Linked DNA regions of Drosophila melanogaster. The gene in region 1 interacts genetically with each later gene. Each region holds a gene or a part of one and is shown on either strand. Other genes may lie near its edges.

What was found.
Region 2: of ro (region 1) and sens, changing one suppresses a phenotype caused by changing the other (phenotypic suppression), as found in Drosophila melanogaster (one study listed by BioGRID).

Annotation. Positions count from the first base shown.
Region 1 is NT_033777.3:26,879,463-26,883,217, reverse strand, and holds the start of ro (rough), read left to right. Parts: upstream 1-2,046; 5' UTR 2,047-2,112; coding exon 2,113-2,653; intron 2,654-2,758; exon of another isoform or gene 2,759-2,872; coding exon of another isoform or gene 2,873-3,133; intron 3,134-3,381; coding exon of another isoform or gene 3,382-3,624; exon of another isoform or gene 3,625-3,739; intron 3,740-3,755. Other genes in the region: CG5500 (uncharacterized protein), read right to left, coding at 2,873-3,133, 3,382-3,624.
Region 2 is NT_037436.4:13,399,448-13,403,202, forward strand, and holds the start of sens (senseless), read right to left. Parts: upstream 1,679-3,755; 5' UTR 1,461-1,678; coding exon 1,301-1,460; intron 1,020-1,300; coding exon 1-1,019.

The DNA.
Region 1 (3,755 bases):
CTATTTTGTTTGCTACCACTTGCATTACTATTCTACACTCGAATTTCTAACGGTAACCGGACAACACACATTGCCAACAGCTGTTAGTCGTTGTTGTTGCGCTGTTAATTGGTAAGTACGCGACATTTCTATCAATCAAACATAAAAGTCCGCGTTCATTTCCATAACAATTTTCCCGTAATATGCTGCGCATGCGCAGGATAATGAAAACGAGCCCACGAGAAATCCCGCGGTGGGAATTAGGGAATCAAAAGAAATCCCACAATAAGCCCCTCGCGAATGCCTCCGCCCACGCCTCTGCATGTGCAAGCGGGATGGCCAGAGGCAGGAAGTTCTGCGTGCGAGCGAGAGGCAGCGTGCACCCTTAGCGCCGCTCATAAATGTCAATGGAAATGAAAAGGCTGATGTTATTGTTTTTTTTCGTTTGTTTTTGGATGGAAAACAGAATGAACAACATGTGGGTTTCGCTTTATTAAACATCGCCTGGAGGAGGAAATGCCGAAGAGGCTCTACACACGACAAAAAATATACAAACATTCTAAAGACTCAAAACACTATGCTTAAATATTTGCAAATTTATTTTAAGGTCTTTCAGCACAATGATGTGATGTATTGATGTATAAATTTAAGGTTACTGTTTGTAATTCATTAAATATGATTGTTTTGCAATTGATTCCAATCCAGTTTGATTACTTTTTAAGTCGAGGTTCATGTCTGAATTTCATTTTTCTGTGCAACCAGAAGGTATTTATAAATTGAGCTCAAAAAAATAAAACGCACGAAAAATGTTCAAAAAATTTGCATATGTCAGTGTAACAAAAAACCGAAATTGATGGATGGAAAAAAGTCGGCGACTGAAAAACACACACTCGCGGGCTTAAGCCAAATAAGCTCTAAACGAAACGAAACGAGTTTTAACAAAATATTTTTGCATTGCTCAAACGCAGCTCAGAGCCGTCAGAGAAACAAACACAAATGCACGCCGGGGCCAAATAAAAGCCATTCAATTAATATCCGGACAGAAAACAACAAACAAAAGTCGCTGCAATTTTTCTGGTTTTATTTGTTTTGCACTGCTCCCATTTTGTGGTGTTTGAGGGGATATGGGAATTCGATAAACAAAATCGAAATTGGCCAAAATCGAAGGGATGTACCTTTTTTTTTCTTATTTTCGTCACCACTTGTTGGTCTTTGTTTATTGTTATTATTCTTTATTGGCACTTTCGGTGGCTGCGACAGCTGCGCGAACTAACGGTACGTGCAAATCGGTTGCGCAGCGCAGACGGATTGGCAACATAACCGTAATCGTTTGTTTTTGTTTTCGTTCTTTCGATCACTATCACTTCATCGATACTTCTTTCCCAAAACAGCACACGTTTACGCACCGAAGTTTTGGGAACACATTATCCATGCTGATATAATCCACGAACTCGACTCGACTCGATTCGATTTGATTCGATCCCTCGCGCGCGCTATGTAAAATTACAGATAGTGGCGCGATTCGGTTGCTTATATAGACTTTTTGCCATTTAGACGGACCGTTTATGGTAGTTTGAAAAATGCATGAAATACATTGAAGAAGCAAATGCTGATTGCCCACCTCTAGGGATCTCGCTCTTAAGGTTGTTGTCCTCGCAAAGCACTGGCGAGGTAAGAAACTTGGCTAAACCAGGGACTGTACGCACACACTGCTTGTATGAAGACGTGAGTACTGCTTGCTTAAGAGTGGGCGGAGCTTATTTAGGCACACTGCTTGCCACCCTTAAGTGAAACTTTGGCCGGAAGTAAAATTAGGGGTTAATTGCACGGCACTTCAGCCAATCAAACCGGGTTTCAGGCCACACTTCAGGTGTTTAGTGGGAAGGGGGTCCTTTTTTTTTATTATTATTATTAGTAAGCAGCATTTTAGGCGCCCCCGCTGCTGCTGTTAATTTTCTGATGTGCCGCGTAATTTGCTTTGTTTTTTTTTTTCACCCAGTTCCTCTGCCGACGTCGACGTCAGGATAAGCGTCGCTTGACCAGCGGAAGTAGAATTATTTGTGGCACTTCAGTCGCTCGCCGATTACCCAAGTGATTAGTTTGGACAGCTAACGCGGCACATCCTCAAACGAAATGCAACGTCACAAAGTTGAGATTGGCTCACCCGACGGCTCGCCGGGCATCAAAAGGAGTGACAGCTTAGATCCCATAGCGAACACTACGATTCTATCCGTGCCGCAACGTCCCTCGTCGCCGCGACAGTTTTTCGAACGTCTGTACGGGCATTTGGAAACGCGCTCCTCGGAAAATGGGGAAATCGACGTCGGAACACACGCCCACAAGCCGCCGCCCTGTGACACGCCCTATCACAGCGATGGAGGAAGCGTCTCCTCGCCAGACATTTCCATCAGCGATGAACGCACCTCGCTAGCCGCATATCCCGCCTACGATTTCTATGGTCACGCCAAGGACTATCCGCAGCATCCTAGCCAGCAGCACCAGCAGCATCATCATCATCACCATCATCCGCCGCAGCTGGTGCACCAGAAACTCAGCTACGTGAGCCCGCCGCCAGCAATTGCCGCCGGTGGAGCTGCGAATCCTGTCCTGCCACACGCATTCCCAGCCGGCTTCCCAAGTGACCCGCACTTCAGCGCCGGCTTTTCCGCATTTCGTGAGTACTTACATTTAAAAAAGAATGGTTTCTAACAATGTGTAGAATATTTGCAAAGCTATGCAGAATCTTTAGAACTACGAAAATAACTTCTTCAGAACCTTAACTCTTACATGTTTATTTTGAGGTTTCTTAGTTCTTACACACTAAGTACAAGAGTAAATTTGAGCTACTACGAATTTGGTCCTAACTAGATATTTAGGTGAGCGGGGATTTGTACTACGGCGGGGGCGAGGATTTCTTTGGCTTTCCCTGCTTCGCTGCTTTCTCCGCCGCCGCCTTCTCCTCCCGCTGCTTAGCCATCTGGCGCAGCTCCAGGCTGAGGAACATCTTCAGGTTCGGGTCGGTGATCTTGCTCAGCACAATCTCTCGCGCCTCCTCATCGTTGTCGCCCAGCAGCTTGGCCAGCGTCTGTGCGTAGTCCAGCCAAACGCAGTTGGCGCAGCCCGACATGCAGCAGGTGGTGGGCTCGGGAGGTATCTGCAAACGATTATATAATATGCAATCTCTTGAGCCACTTTCCTCTTAGGATAGAAAGTTATTTCAGTATTGTGATAACAATTGGATCCTTCGATAATACTGCTCAATAGTTTTAGAAGTTCATAGAACTACACTAAGTTTTGTGTTACAATACTAGATCGATGATCCTTTCTTTCTAATGAACTACAATCTTACCAACTGATATTTAACCTATAATAGCAATGATAACAACTAGCTTACAACATTACCTCTATGTTTCTGAGCCGCTTCCTTCCCTTGGTGGTTTTATCTTTGGCTTTGGGAGTGTCAGTGCCCGTCGTTGTGCTATTGGGCGGACAGCCACTTGCTGCCTCCTGGGCGGCCGCATCCTTGCTGCTGGCATCATCCTGGGAGCTGCTGCCCGACAATTGGCGGGCCAGTGAGGCCCAACGCTCGGCGCCACGTCGCAGGAGCAAGCATCGCGGACAGCTGAAGCCCAGGGGAGCCAACATTTCCGCCCGATCCCCGAAAGAGTTCGAAAGTTACGATTGAAAAGGCCCAGAGGAAGTGATGAGCATTTCACACGCCTGCGCAGGTGCAGCCCAGATGAACTTGGTTCCGCAGGAACTGCAAAAAAAAAAAG
Region 2 (3,755 bases), on another chromosome or scaffold:
ACGACGCGCAACATCTGTGGCCGTCGAGTCAGGATGTTGCTGCTGATGCTGATGTTGCTGCGGCTGCTGCTGGTGATGCAACTGTTGTTGCTGCTGCTGCTGCGGCTGTTGGTGTTGATTACGCATGTAGCCGAATTCGGCGGCTGCCACCAAATTCATGAGTGCCGCTGCCGAGCGGTTATCCTGCTGCTGCTCGTCCTTGATGCGATGCTGTTGCTGCTGCTGCTGCGGCTGCTCGCTCTTCAGCTTCAAGTGCTGGGTGAGCAGCTCCAGATTGTTGCCCGTCAATCCGGCCATGAATGCGCTGCGATGGGCATACAACTGCTGTTGGGCCACCTCGAACTCCAGATCCTGGACGGCATTCGAGGCGGGAGCGGACAGCGAGGAGATCGGCGATTGCAGCGAGGATATGGATGCAGTTCTGCGCTCATACTTGAACTTTCGCACAATAGGATCCACCTGGTGCTCCTCCTCATCGCCCTGCTCCTCCATCTTCAGGCCGTACTGCTCCCTTCTCGCCGATCTCTCGCACATCGAGGCCGGTGACCAGATGATGTTACCCTGCGATCTCTGGCGCTGTTGCTGTGGTGTACTCGAACTCTTTAGATTCACAGCGCTCAGGGGAGGCGGGGTAACGTTCAGCGAGGTCATCGGATGCAGTTGCTCCACTTCACTGCTGGAACTGCTCCTGCTGCTGTTGTTGCTGCTGCTGTGATACTGATCTCGGTTGGAATCATCCGATGTGATGCGCTCCTTGGTGCTTAGATTTAGTGGCATATCCTCATCCTGCTCCTGATAGTCCTGCTTGCTGTTCTCATTGTTATTGTTCATTTGGAGTTCATGCTCCTTTTCGGGCGTCAAGGCAAAGTCACGATCCCGCTGACCCAAAACCACAGAGGCGGGCGATTTGGGGGTCATGGGGGTCAGTGGTGTACCCAGAGCCGTGGCCGAGGACAACAAAAATTGGGGCCACAGTAGGGCACTCGAGTAGAGCAGCGGGTTGTACAAAAAGGGCAGATCTATGAAATGCAAATTTAACGAATCAGTTGAATAGTAGTGATTAAGATTAGGAAGGAAAAGTATCCTCAGGATGCCTATCAATATAAAGTTACTCTTGTATTGGTAAGAACTACAGTAAAGTTAACATAATTTTTCTGATCTGTTGAAAGTGTTAACATTTTGATTTTAAATCGAGTGATCTTTTAAATACAATTCGAAACGATTAAAAAGCTATAAGCTAATCTTTTTGCTATCTTTACTGCCCCATATATTTTTCTGTCAATCCAGATCGGGAACTCACCTCGACCATTGAGTTTCTGTGCTGCGGCGGAGGCTATCACAGTGTTGAAGGCGGATGCCCGCTGCATCCACTGCTTGTCCAGAGCTGCTCCATGGCAGCCCAATCCCGCGGGACTCGGCTGCTGGGAGTGCGGCGATGGCGGCGGCGATAGGTGATTCATTTTGATTCTGGATCTTTACTTTTTGGAATCTCACTGGATCTGATTTACGTATTTGCTTTAACAGTCTTTGGATTGTGATTTTTCTCAATACTGTTCACTGCACAAATCTCACTTTCTTGGCGTTGTGATCTTGGATTCGAACGGATCTTCGATGGGTCTTATTCAGTGCGGTTTTATCTTGACTCACTGGAGACGAACACGTCCGTATCGCTCGGTGCTTCGCACCTGACTGAATCTTTGGTCGATGGCTCAGTTCTAAATTGAGCCAACGGTGAAGCGACTTGGCCCGAAAAAAAGGTACAAATCGAGCTCTCTTTTTTTTATTTTTGTGTGCGACTGTGGTTACTTGTGGCACTGTGTGAGTGCGGCAGCAAGCCGAATCAAAACGAGCCCTCGGTGTATTGGTGTTGACTCTTTTGGTGGTGGCTCTCGAGAGCCCTGCAATGTATTGTTGGTGTTGGTGTTCGTGTTGCCAACTCTGGTTTTTCACCTTTGGCAGCAGTTGGCGGCAGTTGCAGTCCTGTGTTCCATGTTGTATGGGTCAAGACGCACAGTTAGGAGTCCCCTGGCGATCTCGATACCCCAACCCCCTGCGTTCGTATCCTCTTGGCCCATCTACTACTGGTTTTCCAGCACGCGTTTCCCTACTAATTGGTATGCACTTAAAGTTTGGCGGGCGTTTGTTATCCTTTTCCCGCTGCCCTGTAACAGTTACAATTGCCTTTGCTCTTTCTGTTGCTGCCACCAACTGTTGTTGGCTCAGGAATATCGGGATCGGTACTTTGGCCAAGGGAGAAGAAGCGAGAGAGGGCCAGCAATCGGCAGAGGATTTCACTGCTGATCGGTGGAAGGGGGGAGAGGACGAGGGCGGGATGGGGCGGGGTAGCATACAAATATTTAGGTGGATGAATCCAAGGATCTAACATCTGTCGTGGCAACTCTCCATGTTTGTAGATACTGTTTAGATTACCTTTAGATTTGACAAGGATTACAAATGGGTTCCTAATTTTGAATGTGATGAAAATTAATTTTTGTATTAATTATTAAAAATACATTGCGAGTAAAATATAGGAGAAATTAAGTTTAAATTCATTTTTATTTGCGCTTCTCCCAATAAGGGTAAATAGTTTAAAGCAACATCGTGAATTTAATCTTTAAGCTTTAGACTTCATCCATAAAAAGTGTTATTACATTTTAGAGGATTGACGTAAACCTACTTCACAACCAATGCACAAATATATAAACTTTATTTAAATTATTGTAGAATTTTTTTTGTTATATTTCTATATAAAATCTACCTTACCAAAATGACATATTTGATTATAATAATGTTACATTTAAATACATAAGATTAGGACAGATTTTATTTAATAGCTATCAAAATATCAGATTTCCCATTTAAAACCGTTTTAACAAATAGTTTGGTTTGGTTTCAGAACATTAACTTTCAACAAAGTTTTTGTTAAATTTCTCAATGCAAACTTTGCAGTTCGTCGTATTTTCCTAAAGCATTTCAATAAAATTAAAAGACTGAATTCTTTTGTCAGTCAATTTAAAACCAATACCAAACTCTAAGCCATAAAGTCCCCATCTTCTCGTTGGATCGTAGCTATTAAACCACTCAGATAGGACGACTGAGCACCTGCCACTTTCTCCCTCTACCGCTCGATGCACCTTTTTCCGAGCTTATCCTTGATGAGAGTTCGGGGTCCTCCTCCTGAGTTGGTAGCTCGCCACGCTTGGCCACCTCGTCTTGGCCGCCTCAATTCCAGTTTATCTATCCTTGGCGCGGGCCACACCTGCCTAGAAAACGAGCCAAGAAAATGTGGCGGGCGCACACTTACACTTCCACATTTAACGATCCTTTTCCTTGTCAGCAATTTTAGTTCCCATCCCCTAGTTTTTGGCGCAATTTCCATGGCAGGACATGTGCAGAGTTGAGGCGACACCGAAATTCCATCGCACTCGTGTCCGCCACGGGTGCCGCCGATCTAGCGAAGCGGTACGAGGCACGCGGCCTAAAAGCGGGCCAAAATGGGGGAACTCTGGCTTCTACCATTTCGACCGCGATGAGGGCTGGCCAAGTCAAGTTGGTGGCATCGTTGCGCTTGGCGGCGTTCCCATACATATTGTTTATCTGGAGAACTGAGGGCGCGTGCTCATCCCCTGCCGCTTTGTAACGGATTCACCGTATGCCGCTCACACATCTATCATCGTTTGATATGCGGTACACTGAGAGAAATACTGTTTTGAAAATTACAATATTCCTGCATATAGAATCCGCTTAATGCAGCT